Linked DNA regions of Cricetulus griseus. The protein of the gene in region 1 purifies or fractionates together with the protein of each later gene. This does not show direct contact. Links are inferred from orthologs where the notes say so. Each region holds a gene or a part of one and is shown on either strand. Other genes may lie near its edges.

Evidence for each region.
Region 2: the proteins of baculoviral IAP repeat-containing protein 3 (region 1) and Bcl10 purify together in Homo sapiens (affinity purification with western blotting; 5 studies listed by BioGRID and IntAct, with this or other methods). This does not show direct contact. The link is inferred for Cricetulus griseus from reciprocal best matches to the Homo sapiens genes BIRC3 and BCL10.

Annotation. Positions count from the first base shown.
Region 1 is NC_048597.1:122,238,376-122,250,931, reverse strand, and holds the start of baculoviral IAP repeat-containing protein 3, read left to right. Parts: upstream 1-6,313; 5' UTR 6,314-6,448; intron 6,449-11,306; 5' UTR 11,307-11,399; coding exon 11,400-12,252; intron 12,253-12,358; coding exon 12,359-12,458; intron 12,459-12,556. UniProt on the Homo sapiens protein: Multi-functional protein which regulates not only caspases and apoptosis, but also modulates inflammatory signaling and immunity, mitogenic kinase signaling and cell proliferation, as well as cell invasion and metastasis.
Region 2 is NW_023276806.1:13,245,836-13,258,281, forward strand, and holds the start of Bcl10 (B-cell lymphoma/leukemia 10), read right to left. Parts: upstream 8,138-12,446; 5' UTR 7,957-8,137; coding exon 7,900-7,956; intron 1-7,899. UniProt on the Homo sapiens protein: Plays a key role in both adaptive and innate immune signaling by bridging CARD domain-containing proteins to immune activation.

The DNA.
Region 1 (12,556 bases):
AAAAAAGACAAAAGTTACAGGATTACATCAGTAGGTATGAGTTGGTTTTTGATTGGTTGACATTTGGGGAACAATCAAGAAATTTCTCAATGTCATACTTTGACATGAAATACCTATGTACCAATTATTCCCATTGGTCAGTGCTGAGAGGGAACATCCTGTGGTCTCTATGGCTTTGTCTTGTTACTTGCAGGTGGTCTGTTGTTCACAGATACCAATAGTTTTCAGAACTGTATCGTGGAGATTATAGGGGAGGTTTTGGTCTCCCCTGGAGTGTCTTTTGTGGCCAAATAGTTCCCAGGAACCAAGTACCTAGGAGGCTGGGAGGTGGATGGGCAGTATGGAGTTTCTTTGTGTTCGGTTTTGGCCTTAGGCTCTGGGAGGCCAGAGGATCTGTAGTTTTCTTGTGCTAGAGGCCTACATGTCTTTTCTATAGCCTGTCATGGATGCTATTCAGGGACTTAATGAGAGTCTGGTCCCTTTATTTCTAAATTATTAGAAGTGAAGCCTTTGAGTTTAGTTTTCCCCTTTCAAAGCAAGGTTTCCTGACCTGGGATAGCCATGTCCTTGCCAATATGGGGGACTGTTGGTTCCAACAGTTGGCCTGTCACAAGGGAGATATGTTCATCTGATTTTGCTCCTGCAAAATTCAGTCAGGGCCTCAGGGTGTCATACAGTTGGTAGAATACTTGCCTAGTGTGATGGTTGGCTTTAAACGCCAACTTGGCATCATCTGTAACTACCTGAGAAGAGAGCTTTTCAGTGGAGAAATTATTTCATCAGGCTGGCCTGTGAGCACGCCTACAAGAGGGATCGTCTTGATCACTAATGTCCAAAGCCCCGGCTGGTAATTGGCAGCACCATTCTGCAGGCATGGGGTTCTGAATACAGCAAGATAAAAGAAAGCTCGAAGAGCTGGTGGGTGGCATGAGGGCATTCGTCTCTCTCTGTTCCAGACTGTAGATGTGACATGTCAGTGGCTTAAGTTGCTGCTTTAACTTCCCCTGAGTGATGGACTGTGATCTGGAATTGTGAGCCAAATAAATTCTTCTTTGACTGAGTTGCTTTTTATCAGGGTATTTTATCACAGCAAAAAAAAAAAAAAAAAAATGACACTAGAACCCCTGGCATGCACAAAGCCCTGGGTGCAATCGCCAGCACTGCATATATTGAGCATGGCAGTACACCCCAGCATTCAGGACCAAAGACAGGAAGATCAGAAATTCAAAGCTATCCTTAGCTACTTAGCCAGTGGGAGACCCCTAGGATATATGATATAGGTGATCCTGCCCACCGCCCCCAGGAAAATTCACCTTCAGTTTGAATATCTATTACAAGCTTATTAGCACTACTGTCCCCCAAGGTTAGGGATGAGCAAAGATGTAACTCAGGCCACATCTACTCATTATACTTGAGGCTCTAACTTGAGCAGTAAATAAAGAAAACGAAAAGGGACACACATCAAAAAGGAAGAAATAAGTGGACATGGTGGCTCATACCTATGATGCCATCACTCAGATTACAGGTTCAAGGCCAGGCATGCTACAGAAGACTTTCTCAAAAAGTGAACAACAATTAAACAAACAGCAGAAGGATAGCTTTGAAATTTAAACAGTCACATAGTACACCTAAGCCACTAGAGAACACAAGACCATGTGCTTAACATTGTTACCACCATCAGCTAAGAGCCAGAGCGGGAGGCAGCTCCCCTCTGTCTGTTGAGCTGAAACTGCTAACCATGCAAAGTTACGGAAATCCTTCTTCAACCTTGCTGGTGGTAATTCAAAACAGTATAAACTAAAACTTTGGGCATGTGTGTTGTTTGTTTTTCTTTTGAGATGGCATCCCACCTTCTTAGCAAAGGATCGAACTAAGAAACTGAAATTGCCTGTGCAGGAGAATATATAACTGGACAGTGGTGTACAGGGAAGGGGATGCTGGGAGATAATGAAAAGGACAAGGCATTAGTTACCTTTCTCATTGCTGTGACTAAATACATGCAAAGAAGCAATGCAAGGGAGAAGGTTAATTCTGGCTCATGGTTTGATAGGATACAGTCTCCCATGAATGGGAAGGCACGGGGGCGGAGTGTAAGGCTGCTGGTCACATTGTATTCATAATCAGGAAGCAGGAAAAGGAATGGCAGTATCCAGCTGGCTTCCTCTCCCCCATCCCCCTCTTTTTAGTCAGTCTAGGACCCAAATCCAAGGTGTGTCTCCTAGGTAGTTTCAAATCCAATCAAGTTGGCAATAAAGACTAACCATCGCAGACACCGATGAAACTGAAAACTGTATTGACTGGCAGAAGCGAGTGTGTGAACACATATCAATAGTTCCAGTCCTAAGAAGTTCAAGAACAGACAAATCTGTGGCTTGTGGAGGGCTGAGGGGCAGTTTGGTACTGACCAGAGAAGCACACAGAGGGAGGGCTGCAGGGCAATGTGTTACCAACTGAGGATTCAGAGGTTATAGAAAATGTCCTGCTCTTAATCTGGTTGCTGGCTATCTGAATGCACATGGCTGCTAAAAAATCCACAAAACTGTCCAGGCATGGAGGCTCAGGCCTAAAAACCAGTACTGGAGAGGCTGAGGCAGAAAAATTGCCACAAGTTTAAGGGCAGCCTTGGCTACATAGTGAATTCCAGGCTACAGAATAAGACTCCATCTCACAAAAATCAAAACAATCCATGGATCTGGGATGACAGTCGAACTCCAGGGGTAGAATGCTTGCCCAGCAAATGGGAGTCCCTGGATTATGAAATCCTAGTACCACACAAACCAGGCATGGTAGTGTACCCTATAGTCCCAGAACTTAAGAGGAGGGAGCAGGAAGATCAAAGATTCAAGGCCAGTCTGGACTACACAACACCCTCTACTGAAAACAAACAAATAAACAATCTATGGAGGTATATACTTAAAGATTCTGTACCTTAGATCAGGGAGATAGCTCATATATCATTGTCTATGACTTGATATCAAGCCTAATGACCTGAGTTCAATTCCCTGATATCCACATGATGCAAGGAGAGAACCAACCCCCCCACAAGATGTCTTCCAACTTTCACAAGTGTCTTCTGTGGCATGCATACACATGTACATACATACTAAATAGATAAATAAATTTAATACAAAAATTTTAAATCTGTGTGTTTTGATGCCAGATAAATTGTATTCCATTATAATATCTGGATAAGTTAAAGTAAGCTACAATTTATAAGGGGAAAATTTCATCATTACAGAATATTGATATTGATACTAAATAATGTTTTTTGCTCAACTGGATCTTCATGAGGACTTGGTTAAAAACCTGGTTGTATTTATCTATTTATTTATTTTTGAGACAGGGTCTCACTATATAGCTTTGTCTGGCCTGGAGCTTTCTATGTTGACTAGGCTGGCCTCAAATTCCCAGGCCTCTGTAGACTGCCTTAAGTGATGGTGTTAAAGGTTTGTCACTGTGCCTGACCCTGACTATGCACAGGACGTTGTGAACTTGTCCCTAACCCAGGAAATCCCTGTCACTTACTTTGGAACCAGGGTGGCATGGCTCCAGTTGGATTTATTCTCACTTTTGGTTCTAAGCTCTTTTCTTTCTTTCTTTTTTTTTTTTTTTTTTTTTTTTTTTTTTTTTTTTTTTTTTGAGACAGGGTTTCTCTGTATTGTTTTGGAGCCTGTCCTGGCACTTGCTCTGGAGACCAGGCTGGCCTCGAACTCACAAGAGATCCTCCTGCCTCTGCCTCCTGAGTACTGGGATTAAAGGTGTGTGCCACCAAAGCCCGGCTGGTTCTAAGTCTTAAAAATAAACCCAGCACTTGGGAGGTGGAGGCAGGTAGATCTCTGTGAGTTCAAGACCAGCCTGATCTATAGATTGAGTTCCAGGACAGGCTTCAGAGTTAGAGAGAAATCCTGTCTCAGAAAAAAAAAAGTTACGGTTGGGAAAGGTTGAACACAAGTTTTTTTAATGGTATTTTATGATGTGAAATTCTCACTTAGGAAGAAATCATGATGGCCTTTGAGGGAAAATACTTTTGTTATTTAATGAGATACTGAGGATGCATGTCAGCCTGGGTCTGCATACAAATCCCTGTCACTCTCACCTGGCTTGGTACTGATGGCAGAAGAAAACTGAGCAGAGAAAATAATGGTTATATGTCTACCTTTCTTCTTTCTTCAAATGTTTCCTTAATAACTCCTGCTTAAAAGCCTATTTAGGTCTGGCAAGATGGCTCAGCATCTGTTCTTGCAGGGGACCCTAATTATGTTCCCAGCTTCTATAACTTCAGCTCCAAGGCATCTGCTGATCCTTCTGGCCTATGTAAGCTTGGCACTACCATGAATACACACACCCATACACATAATTCAAGGATAAATTAATAGTATCTTTAGATGGCTATTTTGTGAGCAATCACACTTGGGGAATCTTTAGGAGAACATTGAGAATGGAGAAAACCCAGAGGATTGGTTGCTTCAATTTGTTAATCAAGATACTAAGCACTTAGTATGTGCAAGCATTCTGCTGATGCTAGAGTAAAACATCAAGTAAAAGACATACTGTCCCTGCCCATATGCAAGTTAGAGTTTATCCAGAAAATAATTAACTTTAATTCTTATCGATTTCAAGGCATAGGCTACCTCTTGTCCAGGCTGAGTTCATTATGTAACCTCGGTGGTCTTTGAGGTCACAGCTGTCTTCTGCTCCAGCTTCTCAAGTTCTGGGTCACAGGCCTGGTGCCACACCTTATTTAATAACTTAAAAGAAAAAAAAAAAAAGGCCAGCAATAAAATTGCAAGAGAGACTGACCACATGACTCTGCCCTCAAAAGGAGGCTCAAAGGTAGATGGACATCTATCTCCATGTTATCAACAAACCTAGTGTCTCAGGTGGACTTCCAGTTGGAACTGTGTTGTCAGAGCCAGACAAACTCACCTGCCTGCCGCTCAGCCTGAGCAGAGTCCACAATACCGCATCCATCCTATTCCTCAAATGACCAGGGCAGGTCTCTCTTCCTTCGAGAAAAGTTGCTTAAGTTTGCTGCTAACCCACTGAAAATGGAAGGAGACAGACTAGTTAGACTAAAAGAGCAAAAGTTTTTCCTAGAGCACTGATACAGTTAATCGTCATCCCTTGTAAGAGAAAATGCTAAAGGCAGGGATTTTGTTTTTCTACATCTATTCATCCTGTTTATAAAACGAAGAACAGCAAGGCAAAACCACACACACACACACACACACACACACACACACACACACACACACAAGAAAAACACCTACTAAAACTGATCAAAGCAACAGGGTTTTTTTTTTGTTTTTTTAAACTTAAAGAAAGTGTTTATAGCTGGGCGGTGGTGCACGCCTTTAACCCTAGCACTTGGGAGGCAGAGGAAGGTGGATCTTTGAGTTCAAGGCCAGTCTGGTCTACAGAGCGAGTTACAGGAGTCAGGACTACACAGAGAAACCCTGTCTCGAAACCCACCCACCAAAGTACGTACGTATGTATGTATGTGCGGGTGTTTTGCCTCATGCCTGCGCGCATGCATGTGCAGGGCCGGTGGAGGCCAGGAGGGGGGAACTGAAATTTCAGGTGGCTGTGAGCCGCCTTGTGGATGTTGGGAACAGAAGTCCAGCCCTCAGGAAGAACAGCAAGTGCTTTTAGCTGCTTAGCAGTCTTCAGGCCCTCAAACAAACCTTCCAAATACAAGAACCAACGTGGTTCTAACCTCTTTAAAACAAAGTCTCACTATGTCCCTCAGGCTGACCGGGAGTCACAGAGATCCTCCTGCAGTTCTGGTTATTATCTTTAAAACAATAAAAATAACCACGAGGCGATCTACATGGCGTTTTAAAAATGTTCCTCTCATCTCCTTCTTTTTTGTCCAAAACAAAAAGTGAAAATAACCAGAGAGACTTTTACAGCGTTAAAGGGTTTTTTTCCCCTAACGTCAAATATGCTTTTTTTTTTTTTCTTTCTTTCTTTCTTTCTATTCGGCAGTTGTAGACTGGAAAGTTGTGACCTTTTTTTTTTTTTTTTTCTCTGTGAAGAACTTGGGGGCTGAAGCGGGGGCAGGGCCTCTTCCAGGCAGGCCAGCCCAGAGGCTGCACATCTGTTTTCAAGTGAGCTGGCTACCATGAAGTACAAACTGTCAGGAAACGCCTCGGGGACGAGCCGAGCCCAGGAAGTCACGGAAATCCCCGGCCGGCCGCCTGCCACCGAATGAGAAGGAAGTGGTGTGGTTTGCCCCTCGGAGTTCCCCAGCCGGGGAGGAAAGCACCGCGGGCCTGCGCGGGAGGGCGAGCCTGGGCGGGGCAGGGTGAGGCGGGTGGTGGGCGCGGTCCGCCTGGACGATTTAAAGGCGTCGTGACACTCAGCCAACCCCATAGACCGGGCGACAGGTGCCACCCCAGAGATCGGAGGTCCCTGCGGGCGTGCAGAGCCTGAGGAGCGGGCTGCGGTGAGTACGCGCGCGCGCGCGCGCGCGCGCGCGGAGAGCGAGTGAGCGTCCCTGGGGTGGCTCGAGGGTCGCCAGGGTGGCTGGATCTCAGGCCTGCAAAAAACGGCTGCTGTGCACCTCTGGTCCTGCCCACTGGCCCTGGCTGCCCAGAGGCAGCTGGGAGACTTGAGACTGTGAGAACCTGGGCTTGGGGAAGCTTGAGCATGGGAGTGGTTGTTTTCTTAGTAATCAGCCTGGAAGTACACTAGGACTCTTTCTTTTGGGGGAGGGATAGGTGTTGGAGACCACTCGCACACTATAGGTAGGTCCCAGTGGCTTTGAACTCTGGAAAATCCTCCTGCCTTAACCCCTTGAGTGACGGACTTACAGGTCTGAGTCACTGCACCCAGTTTCTCAGTAGTGCTCTTAATCTAGTCAGGAAATGGCTGTGGTCATTTCTCTGTCTACTACATGCCAGGGTCTGCCCTAAAGACTTATGTCACCAACTGTACACTTAATCACCAATTGTAAGCAGTGGGCACCGTTATTAACTCCATTCTGCAACGACAAAACTGAGGTACTTGTGGTTTTTCTGGGCTTCACTGTGTATCCCTGACTGGCCTGGAACTGTGTAAGTAGAACAGGATGGCTTTGAACTCAAGGCAACTTTGATATCTACCTGCCTCTGCTTCCGGAGTGCTGGGATTAAAGGTATGTCTGGTCTCCTGGTTGTTTCCTTTGTAAAAAGGGACTGACACCCGTCCTATGATATGTGACTTAATAAATGAAGGTGCTATGGACATGATGAGCCCTGTCAACTGTGCTAAGAAATTCAACAAGAAGTTTTGCTGCGATTAGTAGTGCAGGCCTGTAGTTGTGGTACTTGGGAGTTCAATGCCAGTCTGGGGTATATGTCTCACACGACAGTTACAAGGCTCAGTGTCTTTGCTCGGCCTGTGACTGTGGCTACTACAGAAACTAAAGTATACTTCCTCTTCTGAAGGAGAAATAGTCCAAGGTGGAGGGAGAAAGACACATTTACCCTGCAGTGTCATACAGCCACCCTTGAGGTCTACAGGAAACGGTAGAGTAAGCAGAGAAGAGACCGGGTTGCCAAGCTGACCCGCAAGGAACCACTGTGAGGGACAGAGGACTCCTACATACTGATGTGGACAGGGGCGGGGATCAGGACAGGTCTAAGAGGAAGTAGGTCCCAGTGGCAGATGGCAACACTTCCTGTGGATTTGATGTTATGAATATGGAGTGTTTGAGGGGTGCTGGCACACAGAATATCTGGTTGTGTGGAGATGTGATTCACAGGCAAATGTTCTTTAGGCTTGGTTGGGAGGACCTGACCCGGGAGAAGCTAGAATAAAAAGCGGTCTTTGAGGTGGTCTTCATTTGGAAGTTGAGAGGGACTCAGCATAAGGACTGTGGCGGGACTAGGGTTGTGCAGTGTTTGAGGAGACGTGAGGCAGAGTCTAGTCAAAGCAGTAGGAGAGAGTGGCTCCATGAGGGGGTAGTTGTTTCTCTGAGGCTGCCAAAAGGCTTGAGACCACAGGCAGGCAGGGGCTGCACCTCTTTTTGAAGAACACAGTTAACTGAGTGAATGTGGCAAAGAGAGATTGGAGGAAGGGGCCGAGGCATGGAGGTATGTTAGGATGTAAAGAAAACAAACCCTCTGTTGCTGGGAAGGTGTCTATGGAAACCAGTGTAGCATCTCAGAAAACTAAACACTGAACTGCCATATGACCCAGCTTTCCCACTCCTTGATAGGTACATGGAGGAGTTTAAGACAGCTTGGGAGAAATTCCTGACTACCCTGTGTCTTAGTCACTGTTCTGTCACTGTGAGGAGACATGACCAAGACAACTTATAAAAGAAAGCTTTCACTGGAGGCTTGCTTATGGTGTCAGAGGCCCACTCCACGATCATCATGATGGAGCATGGCAGTTTGCAGGAAGGGACGGTGCTGGAGCAGTAGCTGAGAGAGAGCTACATCCTGATCCACAAGCAGCAGGCAGAGGGAAAGCCTGGGCCTGGTGTGGGCTTTTAAAACCTCAAAGCCGACCTCTAGTGACACACCTCCTCCAATAAGGACACACCTCCTAATCTTTCCTAAACACTCCACCAACTTGGGACTAAACAGTCAGATATATGAGCGTATGGGGGCCATTCTCATTCAACCCCCCACACTGTTTATTGTATCACTATTCACAACGGGACAGATTGAATGCCTGTTAACAGATAAACGGATGAAGAAAATGTGTTTGTGTGTGTGTACACTGGAGTACTATTCAATTGTAAAGAGAAAGGTATAAGCCCTTCATTAGTAATTCTAATAAAGACAATTAGAATCTGAGTTGGTGGCTCATGCCTGTAACCTCAGAACTCAGGAGGTTCAGGCAGCATACTACTGTTTGAGGCTAGTCTGGGTTACAGACTGAGTACCAAGCTAGCCCTAGCTGTAGCATATCTGTCTAAGACAAAACAAAAAAGGCACGTGAGAAGAGTAAAGTATTATGACTCTTGAAATTACTGCAAAGAGCACTGGGGCTGGAGAGATGGCCCAGTGCAGTCAGAAATAAAAAGGAATTTCTAGTTTTGTAATTTCATTATTGTTATATAAGATGTTAATTTTGGGAAGCTGGGTGCAAAGTATATGTGACATCTGCAAGTTTTTATATATATGCTCTGGTCTGTAACTCATGAGTTCTGTGTGAGATTTCTTGGCTGACAACACCCAGTGCAGCATTGTTTTCTCAGAGTTGGGGACTGAGGTAGGAGTCTTGAGTATGCTATCTGAGTGCCCTACCACTGAGCCCCGCTGACAGCCCGAATTAGCATAGCTTCTTGCTACAGACCAGTTTCTGTTTTGTATAAAGCATCTTAAGGAAAAGATCATGGTGGCACTTGCTTATAATCCCAGGATTTGGGAAACAGACAGGAAAATCATGAGTTTGAGGCTGTCTTAGACTACACAGGGAAATCCCAGTCTCGAAAAAGAGGGAGTAGGGGGAGAAAGAAAAGAAAAAAGACATTGTATTATAAACCTGAGTTGTTTGACTTTAATTTCTCTATTTTAAACAGGTTTACAAAGGACACAAACCCTTCTACTACTTGTAGCTTTTTTTCTGTTTTTTTTTTTTCTGTAAACCAAAACATCTCAAAATGGAGGCCTAAACCCCTTAAAGGGACTTAGTCTAATCTTGGGAGGTAGTTTTGTGCATGGACAGACAAATTCAGCCCTCAGTTGACTTTCGGGACTGTTGTCTAAAGATGCTCATTTGAAGTCTGTAGTCTGATTGTCTGAGGCGTTGAGTATTATGATTTGGTTGTGAACTTGACTCTAGGAAGGGAAGGAGTTCTGTGGCTGGGCACAGTGATGAAGCACTCTTCAGAAAGTTGCCTGGCAATTTCCCACTGGCTGGCACTTTTTAAAAAGTGCCCACATTCAAGAAAGATCCAAACATGAGTGCCGGCTATCCAGAGGAAATGAGTAATCTGCTTTGCACAGTAGTACAGAAGTGTACTCATGAGGTCACTGACACATTCAAAGATTGCAACAATGACAGAGAACAAACAGGAACAAAATGTTCTCGTAGGCACAGCAGATTTAGAGGAAGTAAGACAGACACTACAAGAGAGTTGAGAAACTGTCCACCATTGGTATTTTAAAGGTCTACACAGCACAACTTTTAAATAGACTGTAAGCATGAGAGTTATTTTGGCAGATGAACTAGTTTATTCAGAAAGAAATGTCATAGAACGACCAAGTTTTCATAACCCTGTGGAGGGGACAGAGAGGTTAGACACAATGATTTCTCCTGAGAGAGACTCTTGTTGACAGCTGTGGGATTTCTCCTGCCATTTAGAGATAATGAGTTGGTGTCCTTGGTAGAGAACCTGCCATATCTGTGAACTGCAGGAAGCCACTCCAGCCAGTGGCAGCAAACCCCCATGCCTTTACACAGGATGAATTTGCTAATGGCTAGTGAGTCCTTCTATGAGAGACTCTCAATTTGAAGGTCTCTGTGTTCAGATGGTAATAGACTTGTTTGTTTTGATAAATATGTGCTCAGGGAACACACTCTGTGACATAATTTCTGAGTTTGGGTCTCAAGCCTACATTCGTGGCCCACACCATTAAATCCCAGCACTCAGAAGGCAGAGGCAGACTGATTTCTGAGTTTGGGGTTGAGGCCAGCCTGGTCTACAGAGTGAGTTCTAAAACAGCCAGGACTACATAGAGAAATCCTGTTTTGAAAAAATCAAAAAAAGAAGGAAGGAAGGAAGGGAGGGAGGGAGGGAGGGGGAGAGAGACAGAGAGAGAAAGAAATTGAGAGATTGAGACTTGCTGTAGAACTGAGTGGTACCACACAGGCTTTGTGAGCCAGAGGCCCTGGGCTCAGTCCCCAGTGCTACAGATGAACAAACTCGGTGTTCTAAGTAGTTAGTAAGTCTTGGTCCTTTGAAAGGAAACAAAAACCAAACAAAACTCTTGAAGTGGTTTATTATTTTAAAATCCTGTCTGATCCATGTTTCATTCTATATGAATACATACATAGCTTCATGAACCAGACTTTCATGTGCAGGTTGGGTGAACGCCATTAGTGCCTCCTTGTAGCAAGGAGAAGCAGGCTTGCCCCTCAAGATGCCTGGCCCAAAGTGCCCAAACACTATGTTTCCAGGATGGAATTAAGTTCTATCACACATTGGCTCTTAGGGAGAATCTAGTTTCTATTGTATGCATGAAGATTGTGCAAAGGTATGGTTGTGTGTAATTGTGCCTTAAATGTATCAGGGTAGGATTTAGACTCTCATCCTACTGAATCCTGAAATACATAGAAGAAAAAAAATGAGTTTGTTCTTATTTTAGGTGTTCAGCCTAGTAGTAAAACTGACCAAAAGCCATGCACAAAACTACCTCCCCAGAGGAAGGCTGGTCCCCTCCCCTCCCTACCGATTCGTCATGAACATGGCTCCAGACAGTGTCTTCCTGTCCAAGCTGATGAAGAGTGCCGACACCTTTGAATTGAAGTACGACTTTTCATGTGAGCTGTACCGTTTGTCCACGTACTCAGCTTTCCCCGCTGGAGTTCCTGTATCGGAAAGGAGCCTGGCTCGTGCTGGCTTTTACTACACGGGTGTCAACGACAAAGTCAAGTGCTTCTGCTGCGGCCTGATGCTGGACAACTGGAAACAAGGCGACAGTCCTGTGGAAAAGCACAGGCAGCTGTACCCCAGCTGCAGCTTTGTTCGAACTCTGAATCCAGCCGGCAGTCTGGAAACCAGCCCTCAGCCGCCTCTTCTGTCTGCAGAGCCAAGCGCCGTGCCTTCATTATTTGCAAGTTTGGAGAACACTGGTTATTTCAGTGGCTCTTATTCAAGCTTTCCCTCGGATGCTGTGAACTTCAGAGCAAATCAAGATTGCCCTACTTTGAGGACAAGTCCCTACCACTTTGCAATGAATACGGAGAAGGCCAGATTACTCACCTATCAAACGTGGCCATTGTCCTTCCTGTCACCAGCTGAGCTGGCCAGAGCCGGCTTCTACTATGTAGGACCTGGAGACAGGGTGGCCTGCTTTGCGTGTGGTGGGAAACTGAGCAACTGGGAACCGAAGGATGACGCTATGTCAGAGCATCGGAGACATTTTCCCAATTGCCCATTCTTAAAAGATCCGAGTCAATCCGCTTCAAGATACTCTGTCTCTAACCTGAGCATGCAGACACACGCAGCACGAGTTAGGACGTTCTTTAACTGGCCTCCCAGTGCTCCCGTTCATCCTCAGCAACTTGCAAGTGCCGGCTTTTATTACACAGGTGAGAACCTCAATCTGAGACTCTTAAAGATCCAACATGTGTTATGTTACACATGTGACTGAGCAAATTTTGTGTACTCACAAGTGTGCTTCAAAATGAATTTTAGGACACAGTGATGATGTCAAATGCTTTTGCTGTGATGGCGGGCTGAGATGCTGGGAGTCTGGAGATGACCCCTGGGTGGAGCACGCCAAGTGGTTTCCAAGGTAACTGCCTTGAAATTCTCCTTTACATCTTATAAGATTTTCATGAGATACATTATCTTCCTTAGAGTACCTTTGCCCTTTTTTTTTTTTTTTTTTTT
Region 2 (12,446 bases), on another chromosome or scaffold:
GCACTGGGACTAGAGAGATAGCTCTTTTTCTTGTAGAGGAGCTGGGTTTGCTTCCAAGTGTTCACATGGAGGCTCACAGTGATGTACAACTCTAGCTCCAGGGATCTGACTTCTGTGGACCCCAGGGACAAACATGGTATATATACATTCATAGTGTCAAAACACCCATATTGAAAAACAATCTAGAAAGTAAAACGAGTATGACTCTGGAATAAGATAAATAGCTCTTGAAATCCTGACTCCGATAGATGGTACAAATTACTCAACCACTGTACCTTCAGGGTATTCTTTGACAAAATAAGGATAAAGAACTACACCCATCTAGGAAGACTAACTAGGGTGATGTACATGAAGTCTCAGTCCAGTCTGTCTCTGTCTCTGTCCTCTCTCTCTCCCCCCCTCTTTTCCCCTCCCTCCCTTCCTTCGAGACAGGGTTTCACTGTGTAGTCCTGGCACTCACTCTGTACATCAGGCTGGACTCAAACTCACAGAGATGCGCCTGCCTCTGCCTGTCAAGTTTAGCCTAGTCTCTTATAGACAGTAAAATTCAATGACCAGTGAGTACTGGATCATGACAGGCAAGATTCTCTATGACCTACCTCTCTAGACTAACCCGGCAGTACTGTGTCCCAGGACTTTTGGTCCATCTACAAGTGGAGACTGACACTGTTTCATGCTGCTATGTGTCTGATTCAGCTCCTACTCATCGTCTAAGACTGAGGTCACTGGTGGGTCACTTCTGGAGAACCTCACCTTAACATCCAGGATGAGTGGACACACCTACCTTGCAGCACCAGGTTCCTACTTCTTTACCTCATTTCCCAATTCATCCCCAGATATTTCCACTGTGTCCCAATGCTCTTCCCAAAGTCGCCAATGACCTCCTCAATGGACAGCACCTTTCCACCTTCATGATATTTGGCTTCTCAGAGTAGGGGCACAGCTGATGACCCCTTCCTCCAGACACAACGTCCTTGCTGAGCAAGTACGACACTGTGCTGACTTACTTCTGATGTCTATGACACTTCTCTCTGCACCCCTCACCCCCTCTGGGGTCTTGCTACATAGCCTGCCTGGCCTCAAACTCGTCATCCTTCTGCCTCAGCCTCCAAATGATGGGACTGTAGGACAGCGCCTGAAAACGTCTTATAGGGCCTCAAACGCCTCATGTGCTAGTTCTCACGTTTCTCGATGTCAAGCTTGTATTTTTCTACGTTAAAGCTCTCTTCTGATCTTCATACCTACTCTTCCTCAACTTAAGTTTGCCACCGAGTCCCATTATTTCTATGCTCCTAAAATGTACCTCAGACTTCTATTTCATCCACGCCTACTGCCCTCACCCTGGTCCAAACCATCATCTCTCCACACGCATTTATTCACGTCTTTTCATGCCCTTTTCCACTTTTACTCAGCTCCTAGGTCCACAGAAAAGATTTTTAAAAGTCAAACAAACAGCTCTCTGTCTCTTCTCCTCTCTCCATGGCGGTCAGCCATTAACTTTGTTTCTCTTCTCTCTTACCCTCTCTACTCTGCCGGGCCTATAATGAACTGGTTAATGAAAGAAAAAAAAAAAAAAAAGCAAACAAACAAAAATCCTATCAATTCCTTAGCAAGTGTCTTCTAGCAGAAAGAAATCAAGTCCTTCACGAGTTTCCTTAGACCAGCTTCCTCATTTCATCCTGCCCTCAACACTCTGAACTTACAAAGATCTTGACTGGCTTAGATCCATGTCAAATTCCTGTCTCCCTCAACTTCTCCTCCTCCAGCTCTGCCATAACCTTCAGGAATCAATTTCAGGCACATCTGACCATCCTAGCCAAAGTACAATGCTCTGGGGCTTGTCTTCATGGCACTCACTGAATTTATAATTGTATGAATGGTACTGTATTTTTCAGCTTTAATGACTTACATGTTTAGAGCAAGTAGGAAACAGGAATGTTCCGTTTAATGCTGTATACTCTGCATGTCAGAGTGCAGTGTTTTGGATGAATGAAAAATCCATTACAATATCACTTTATGGCTATTTCTCTTCATTCAAGAAATTGAGCTATTTTAAAAACAGGATTTTCTCTTGGTTCTCAATTTAACTGTTAGAACCAAATTACATTAACAGGGTACCATGGAATCTCTGTTTGTTAAGATGAACCAAATTCAACCAAAACCAGGACATATTAAATAAACATGAAAAAGGGGAGGAGCATTGGAGACACAGGTGTAACAAGAAGTCTTTCTGCCCGGCCGCGCAAGTTCTGTCACGTTATGGTCCCAAGTAACACAGAGAGAGTTACATTAGGTACAAATGCTGCTTGGCCAATGACTAGGATTCTCATCTGCTAGCTCAGTCTTAATTATCATAAATCTATATATTTTATAAAACTTATCAGACACTTTTTGCTGGCGCCCTCTGTTGCCGGCGACTCCAGAGCAGAGACCAGGAGGAAGAGCGGGGGGGGGGGGGGTGACTTCCTTCTTGCTCTTGCTTATATTTGAGTGTCCCTGCTATGGCACTTCCTGCCTGGATAACAACGCTTCTTTACTACATTTCCCCAAATCCTCCTTCACTCCTAGTCCCGCATAAGTTCCTCCTCATTGGCCAAACAGTACTTTACTTATCGTCCAATAAGACGGACACACACACAGAAGCACTTCCCCATCATCTTCTCTTCTGACTAAACAAAAAGAAGGGTAACTTATCTCTTATAATAACTGAAGAAAACTATAACCATAACTATCTGTCTTCAACTCTATCAAAGACCACAGAAGGATAATATATAAACTCTAGAATTGACAGAGACATCACTACCTGGACAGTCACCCAAAGTTCCTCTGTAACGTTGGGGCATCCATCCTCAGCCCATAGGCCACAGTGTGTCTGGCACACTTCTCCATTTCAACAGGAACCCTTCAGGACTGACTGTTCATCTTGTTTTGTAAGTTCAGCAGTCACTTTCTTGTGGGTCCTGCATGTCCATTTTATACAGCAACAAACAGTCCAGGCAAGAGCAGTTTCTTGCCCAAACGGCTAATCTTGCCATGTTGAAGGCAAACTCCATAAGGAGTTTCTTCGATGCCCATCCTCCTTTGTGACGTAATTGGTGTGTCAGGAGCAGCTGTGTCTTGATTATTGGTAGAGAAGGACATGACTTAAAGCATTTAAAAATGGCCCTTAAAGGGGACAAGGACTTAAACAGTCCATGAATACTATCTGCTGAAGCAGAAAAAGAGTTACAATGGGTGGAAAGCAGAATACTGGATGCACACGTGGATCTAGCAGACCCTAATCTAGACTGAATTCCGGTCACTTTACAATCCAGAGAATACCCTTCTGGAATTCTGATGCAGAGAGAAGATATTATATTGGAGTGGATATTCCTGCCACATAAACAGAATAAAAAGCTAAAGACATATATAGAAAAGATTTCTGATTTGATTCTAAAGGGCAAATTAAAGACTTCGTCAACTGCCTGGAAAAGATCCAGCAGAAATTATAAACCTTTAACTAATGAAGAAATTTCCTCCTTGTGGAAGGACAATGAATACTGGCAGATAGCTCTTATTGACTTTTTGGGAACGATCGGCAACAACTATGCCAAAACTGACAGAATTAAATTCATAAAAAAGACAGTCTGGATTCTTTCACATATTATAAAAAAACTCCTACTTCTGGAGTCCTTACCTTCTACACTGATACCAACAAATCAGGTAAGGCAGGTTAAAAATCAGGAGAGGTAAGTAAAATAGTTCAAAGTCCATATACATCTGTACAGAAGGCAGAATTATATGCAATTCTCATAGTACTTGTGGATTTTACAGAACCTCTTAATATAGTTACTAATTCTCAATATGCAGAAAGAGGCATTTTACACATTGAGACTGCAGATTTCGTTCCTGATAATACAGAATTAACTTCTCTGTTTTTACAATTACAGGAAACAATCAGAAACAGAAGTAATCCTCTATACATTACACATATCAGATCCCATACGGGTCTGCCAGGCCCACTAGCACAAGGCAATGATGAGATTGATCATTTATTGATTGGCACTGTGCTAGAAGCCTCAGAATTTCATAAGAAACATCATGTAAATAGCAAAGGTTTGAAAAAGGACTTCTCTTTCACTTGGCAACAAGCCAAGGAGAAACTGTCCTGCTTGTTCCTTTTATAACCAAACTCCACTGCCAGCAGGCTGTAATCCTAAGGGCATTCGGAGAAATGAGGTTTGGCAGATGGATGTCTTTCACTTTACAGAGTTTGGAAATTTGAAATATGTGCATCATACTATAGACACATTCTCAGGGTTCCAATGGGCTACTGCTTTTAACTCTGAAAAAGCTGATTCTGTTATTACACACCTGCTAGAGGTGATGGCAGTTATGGGTATACCTGCACAAATAAAAACTGACAATGCTCCAGCATATGTCTCTACAAAATTGGAACAATTTTTCAAATATTATAACATAAAGCATGTTACTGGTATACCACACAATCCTACAGGACAAGCAGTGGTTGAGAGATCTAATAGAACACTTAAGGAGATGCTCAACAAACAAGCTTGGAAGACTAAACCCCCCAAACATAGGTTGCATAATGCTTTATTAACACTAAACTTTCTTAATGCCAATGAGAAAGGACAAACAGCTGCAGAAAGACACTGGACTATGGAAAAAACTGCAGAACTGAATCAGCCGGTATACTTCAAAGATGTACTAATCTCTGTATGGAAACCAGGACATGTGTTACGTTGGGGAAGGGGTTTCGCCTTTGTTTCCACAGGAGAAGAAAAATTTGGATACCATCAAAGTTAATCAAAATTCGAGTCAAAAACGAAAAACCTCTCAATGAGGAAGAATGACAGGTAACATACCAAGGTGTATCTCATAAACTGTATAGAAACCTCCCAAAGGAAAGGGTTTTTCTTTTATCTTCACAGGAAAACTCATCTCCTGAAGGCAAAGGACACTGCATGGGTAGATACTTAAGAAGAAAAGGTAGCTATAACCATCAAACAAAAGTGTAGGGAGCCAGTTCCTGCATTATCCATTACAATAATGGTGCCTGAAGACACCAAGATGTAAATTACTTCACAGGCGCTGGGTTTCTCTTTATTTCCTAGTCCCTATTCAATTAAACCAATGCTGGCTTTAGAGGTGGATTTGGCTTTCCTCCTCTAAATCCAAGCACTTTGTTAAACTTCAGAGTTTCTGTACTATATCAAGAAGTCAATTGATGTAATACAGAATAGAGGAAAGATCAGGGACTGTCATTTGTCTTTTCTTGGCCTTTTTCTCTCAAGGTGTACATCCTTTCATAATTCTTATTTTCCCATGGTTGCCTTTCCCGGTATGCATACATATACAAGCAAATATTTCTCTGCTAACATTTATTTTTGAGTCCCACACAGCCAATGAAGACCTGTTGACAGCAACCCCTGGATGCTCCAGAAAGAAAATGGGCCACACCTCCTCAATTGCACTGGATCCATCTTACTTATTTCAGCTGACACTCTGGCCAGAACTTCGGGTACTGACTTCAATCAACACAAGAACTTCAATAGAGACAAGGACTTCAACCTGGACCTTCAATCAGGCACCTCCCACCAAACATGGACTGGATATAACACATTCAGGACTTTCATTACACTAACATTTCTTCCCACAGGACCCCACGGGGTTGTCACTGTCATCCCAGTTCAGCAGGAAGTAGCATGGAGAACACTGCATCCCCTTTCCCCACTGTTTACACCTAGTCTGCTATTATTTAAGGCTGGGTTTGGAAGGAGGTGTTCAAGCTTGGACATCTCTTTCGGATGACTTTAAGGTTTAGTTGGGATAGTTATAGTTAAGATGTGACATTAGTAGATTATTATAACCTCATGTAATTTACCCTTATGATTGTTTATAATAGATAATTTACACTGTTAAGTTTTAATCCTCTTTTAGACTAAAAGGGGAATTATAGGGGAAATGTCAGCCATGCCCTCTTGGGTGCTGACACAGGTAACGCAGAGCACGCACACTAGGGTATGGTCAGTGATGTAGCAAGACCTTAAATATGAGGGTCGCACTCAGGCGGCTCTCTCTGTTCCATGGTTCACCTTGTTTAGAGGACTGACTGGTTTCGTGAGTACTTTTAAAACATGTGCTCGTCAAACTTGGTCGACTTCTTTGAGGTACACATTATTTGTGCCCCACTTTACACAGGTGTCCCGGGGGATCAGCAGCTGGACAATGGTCCCCAAGACTCAGGGGATGTCTGAAACTCAAGGTACAAATCTCATACCCAAGCTCTCTGCCATAAAAACTCATCTCATAGTCAAGGCAGCTGCCAACAGGCAGGAAAAGCTCACAGTGTGATAGACTAGGGATGAGGTGTGACTCATGCCCCTGGTCAGATGCAGTGAGTGGTACAAGATTATCATGCTACTTAGAGCAGTGCTCAATTTGTACCATGTAACTTGTCAAATTCCCGTCCAATATCTTTGGACCATGGCTGACCACAGGCAACAGAAGCCACAGAAAGGAGACCCTGAAAACAGTATCATGTGCACAACTTCCCATTATTTATCAGGACAGATAGTACAGGAGGAACAGCACGAAGTCTGGCAGGGGTATTGAAAAGCTCCATTTTTGAAAATGTAAGAATAACTTGTATAATATTAAAACTTGATTCCTAGAAAACACTTGGAATAGAGGTCTGAGGTTGAGAAAGAAGGAGGTTCAAGTTATGTCGACAAATTTTTAAGCTTGTCATGAGCAGCTTTAATAATAGGATATCTGAGGAAAAATACGTTCTATAGACACCTTGAAGCTCATGCATAGTTTCTCTACAGTTGTGAACATCTGATACAGGGCTAAACTGTTAATGTCATAACGAACCAACTGGGCAGTGACAAAGGTCTGCAGTACTCATGTGTGTCCACAGACAGGTCTTGTCCTGCTCTGCCAGCTATAAAATGAAAAGCAATTCTCTTCTTTACAGGTATTGTGAGAAAATTCAAAACCGTGTGAAACGGAACTGGAAGCATAGCCGCCATACTTTAGTACATGGTTTTACTGGCATCTTAAATAAGACTATGGTAGCTATGAAAGACCTAGTCCCAAGTAGAATGTGAAGAAGCTCTCTGGACAGGATGTGCCCTACCAACAACACCGAACAAGGGAACTACGTGGGGCACGAACCCCACTCAACTACGCCAATTTTAATCATGGGTGCAATGCAATAAACCTTACAAGGGATAAAGTACGGCAGAAACAGGGATCTGAAGCAGAAACGACCTCAACAACTTGCTCTCAAGTTCGCAAAGACGGTTTTCCAACAGCACTACCTACGGTGCTAAGCAAAGAACGAGTTACTGTCTTTAACGTGAATCCACGTATATGATCTAAGTGGCGCTTATCTGACTTTCTGGCAAAACTCGTAACTGGAGTAAGAGAAGAAAGGAAGCGAGCGCATCGTGCCTCGGGTCACAAACTCTAAGTAAGGTGCCTGTGCCGTTCCGCCCGGTCTCAGCACAGGCGTGCGAGGCAGCCGCTGACTGTTTTCAAACGTGTGCCTGGCAGCCGAGCCTCGCTCGACGCTCGCACACCCCCCTGCATTGAAATGCGTGGGCGTCTGACGGCGGGGAATTCCGGGCTGCGCTTCCAGCTGGGCGAGCTTCACCCGGCCGCTCCTGCCTGGGGACCCCGGGCGGCGCTGGCCTAGCGGCTCCCGCGGGGTGAGGCGGGCGGGGGTCGGCAGGATGGGGAGCCCCCGGCGGGGAGCGGAGGGCACACAAACACCCAAGCCGGCCCCGGGCCCCGATCCAGCCTTCTTCCGACACCAAGCTCCCGGTCGCTCGGCTCCGGGTTTCGGGTTTCCGCTTTCCTCCGCCCGCCCCGCTCGCCCGCCGAGCTACTCACGTCCTTCTTCACTTCAGTGAGGTCCTCCTCGGTTAGGGACGGCGCAGGAGCCTCCATGGCCAGGGCCGGGATGGCGTCCTTCCGGCCCGCGCCGCGCCGCCCCGCCCAGGCTGAAGCCTCCGGTCTCCGGGACGCAGGCCACCGGTGACTCTGGGGGACCAGGACCAGATCCGGGGGAACCGCCGGCCGGCTCCCGGAACGCGGAGGTGCGGAATCTCAGCGCCCCACTTCCGGCTCCGCCCCTGAGGCCTGCGGAGCCTCGCTCGCCACGCCCCCTCCCCGTCCCTAGGCTGGAAGGCCTAGCTCAGGCTCCACCCTCCAGGGGCGGGTCTACCGTCAGCCCCCGCCCCCAATAGGGCCAGCCAATCAGTGCTAGCCCGCGGTTCTCGCTCCTTCTTCCGGAGTGGCTTCGCCGACAGGGGCCGCCTCTCTAGCCACGCCCAGGATCTATTTGCATAAGGTTGCGGATTGGTCTGCCGAGAAGGACTCGTTTCCGTGGGCGGGGCCGTGGCCGCTCAGTTTAGCGGGATCTCCCCGCCCTCGCAGACTCCGCATTTGGGTGGAGCGTGGGCCGAGTCCGCCGTCAGGTCCTCTGCTTTGCTTCTCTTTTCCAGATGTTGCGCAACGATTTCCTGTTGTTGTGCTGCTGCTCCAGGTTTTATGATTGCTCGATCGTGCACAAACGCTTACAGGTGTGCAAAGCATACACGCGCACATAATATAACTTCAGTATTGAAATGTTTGAGGGCCTGGTCCGGGCCCGCTGACACCCACAACTAGGGAGACTGGAGGAGCACGAGGATCGTGAGACCAGAAAACAAATCAAAATAACAACAACAAAGTAAACAAGTAAATAACGAAAAAAGGTGTTAACTTTAAAAACATCACCTGCAGTCCCACTATTTTAGCACCTAAAGCAATGTTTGGAGTACTTTTAAGTCACTGTTAGGAACGTATCCCCTTACTAACCTAGCAATAGAGATAGATTCTTCTAGGGCCTCCTGGAATATAGTTAAGGTTCTGAAGTTACTTGGTGCACAGTTGCACGCTCGTGTTTGTTTTTATCCATTATCATTATTCACTAGGCAAGTGTTTTAGTCACCTTGTGATGGGGAAGTTCTCTTATCGGAGACCAGATGGCTATTCCCAGGATGGTATTCTAACTGTAGCAGCGTGTGCAAACCATAGGACATAGTGGACCAGGAGCTCCAGATAGAGTGCTACGCCAAATAGGATTATGTGTGGGTATTTAACATGTTACAAGCTCATAAATGCTAAGAGGAAAAATAGAGAAGGGAAGTAGGAAGGGTGATGGTGCAGACTCACTGAGAGAAGGGATAAATTTCCCACCTTCAGGAAGTGAGGCAGGAGCCCTGTGGACAGATGGAGAAAGATCTCTAGGAGTGGAGTGCCCCACCAGTGAGCAGACTCCGTGTGACAGGGAGATGAACTCTGTGTGTATAATCTGACTTTGCTCTGAGTCATGCAGGTTTACTCTGACTCAGAAGGGACGCCATGGAGACTTCAGAGCAGAGGAGTGACAGGTGCCGTCTATGATTTGAGGGTCTCTTTCACTGTTCTAGGAGGGGAGACAAGCTGGGCGGCTCCGGTCTGATGTAAACCCCAGGAGGTAGCGGTTGGGCTAGGTGGGCGGTGCTAAGTGGGAGCTGTGAGAGACAACGCCTGGAAGAGAAGGGGCGGGGAGATTGGATTTTGTTTTGAAAGGCTCACAGTAGCTATCAAAAAGAATAGACTGGAGAAGGGTGAGAAAGAGAAACAGCTCCAAGCTTTATTCTCCCTCCACCCAGTACCATTGTGAACACTCTTCACCGTCACTTTTGGTCATGAAAAATTGTCAACAGTTTTCCTTTTTTCTTCCTTTGCAATCAGGTCTATATTGTTCAGGCAAGTGTTGAAGTGGTTTCAGGCCGTCCTCCGACCTGAGCCTTGTGTATGATCGTATCCTGTAGTTCTCAGTCCTCGGTTTCTAACGCATTCTCTTCCTCCATTAGGAAACTTATTTCCCCTTTTCTACTAAATCACAGGGCAAGACTATAATTGCCTCAAACAAACATGCCTGGCCATTCTTTGCAATAAGTACCTCTTCCCAACCCTGGGAACCAACCTACATTGCCATCTCAACTTGTAAGTGTACGCATGTCCTACTCTGAAACCGGAGATACCTGATCCTGTTCTGTAGATGTGATTTGGAAGCTGCAAACACAGGGCACTGAGATAATAGTCCATGATGCTGGGACAGTTTCTCAGAATGTCTCCTCGTGGTTAAGGGACACAACACATGAATGTATTTTCAAATAGGATCACGTTCTGAGGTTCCAGTTGATGTGAATTTTGGGGAGATGCTGACATGTGTTCTGAGAACAATTAGTAGAAATCAATTAGGGAATTTTTCTAGGGCTGTAGGGGGAGGAAGAATATATCATTTACAAGTGGTAAGATGTAAGACAAACAACATCTTAAAAGCAAAGCTTTAAGCTGAGTGGCAGGATTTTATCAGTGGAGCCTTAACAACTTAATGATTTATCCTGAACTTCCTGTTGGATATAAGATACTGTACTGAACAACACATTTAATTCCAGGTGATTGTGAGCTAGAAGTTTCTTGTAAATAGAAAATGAAAGTGACTATCTCTGAGATATATAGATATTCCTGGGTGTTAATGGCAAAATAATGTGTGGGGAAAATCCCCTGTCCCAGCATGGGGACTTTGTGAAGGAGACCCGGGAGGTGCCATGTGGTGAAAATGAATGAACTTCCACAATGTTATCCTGACAACTGCCTCTAGGGAGACTTACTATCTTCCCTTGACAGCTGGGGAATCTAAGGTTTAGAAAACATGATTTGCTTAAGGCCATTCTCCCAGCAGGTAGCAGAATCCGGATTTCTACTCATCTCTGATACCGAGACCGGTGTTCTCATCACCAGTGGTGCACCGACTGACTGTCAGGACACAATCATTCAGGAAGGCTGCTTGAGCAGATGCTGGAGCAAGGCAAAAGTGTGTAATGTCCTCAGGTCTATTGTCTAGGCAGGCTAGGAAAGGTTGTCATGTGGTTGTCTGACTTCCTAAGAGACAATGAGCGACTTTAGACTGGCTGGGAAAGGAGCTGTAGGCCCCTTAGCGGGTTCCCAGCTGACTCTGACTGGATCACCCTGCAGACTGTAGGGCCCCTTAACGGGTTCCCAGCTGACTCTGACTGGATCACCCTGCAGACTGTAGGGCCCCTTAACGGGTTCCCAGCTGAGTCTGACTGGATCACCCTGCAGACTGTTGAGGTAGAAGGGGCCAGAAGTGAGCTCAGGGCTTAGGAAGGTAATAGATGGAACTGGACACACAGGGCATTGGCACTGTGACGAGGAGGCCACAGCTTAAACTGTAACAGTACTTTATTCCTTTTCTGTGGGCAACTCGTATTCCAAGCATGGATAGGCCACGTCTTATTTATGTCACTCTGGGGACATTTGGATTCATTCTGCATATTTTGACAGCCATGAATGAGTATTGTGGACACACACATAAAGTTGTGTGAGCATATGCTTTCATTTCTTTTGGGGACAGCCTTAAGAGTGGAATTTCTGGGTCATGTGCTAACCATACTTAGCCTTTTAAGTGGCAGTGGCAGTTTCAGAACTTCTCAGTTGGTTCTGATATTGAACTGGTACCTGGAACCAGTGACATCAACAGAGTTGTGAAACTAGGGATCCATCCTAACAACTCTGGGGAGACACTCGCAGAGTCCTCCATAAGCAGCAGGGGTCTGTGTAGAGGAGGAAGGTGGCTTCGAAGCTGATTTCTGGCTGCTTCTAAGATATGAAGGATTATTGAGCCCAGGCAGCCAAAGTGTCTTAGTGCCCACACTGTTCCCAGTTTTGCTTGCGTTCACATTTACACCAGTGGCTTGGTCACGGGTAAACACTGGAAACGAGGGTTTTCAAACTTTTGTGTGTATGTGTGTATTTGTATGTCTGTGGCTCCATATTACACGTGTGCATCCATGCATCTGGGGCCAGAGGGAAATCTTTGGCATCACATTCTCTCTCTCTCTCTCTCTCTCTCTCTCTCTCTCTCTCTCTCTCTCTCGTGTGGGGTGTGTGTGTGTGTCATAGTTCATGTGTTAAAGTTGGAGGGCAAACAGTGAAATTGGTTCTTTCCATCCGCCGTGTGGGTTCTGGGATGGAAAGCCAGCCCGGCATGGCAGCAAGTGCCTTTACCTTTGAGTCATCTTGTTGGCCCCACCTTGTCTTTGGAGACAAATTCTGTGATGACTGTGATGACTAATACTTAGTGTCAGCCTGGCAGAATCTAGAATTGTAACCCTCTGTGCGCACCTGAGAAGAATTCTGTGGATTAGGTTAGCCTCTGGGCCTGCCTGTGACAGATTATCCTGATTAGGTTAATCGGGGCAGGAAAATCTGCCCTGGCTTTAGCAGCACCATTCCTTGGGCTGCAGCCCTGGGCTGAACAAAAAGGACAAAGGGAACTGGGCACTGATGCTCACCTCCCTCTGGTCTCTACTATGGATGGA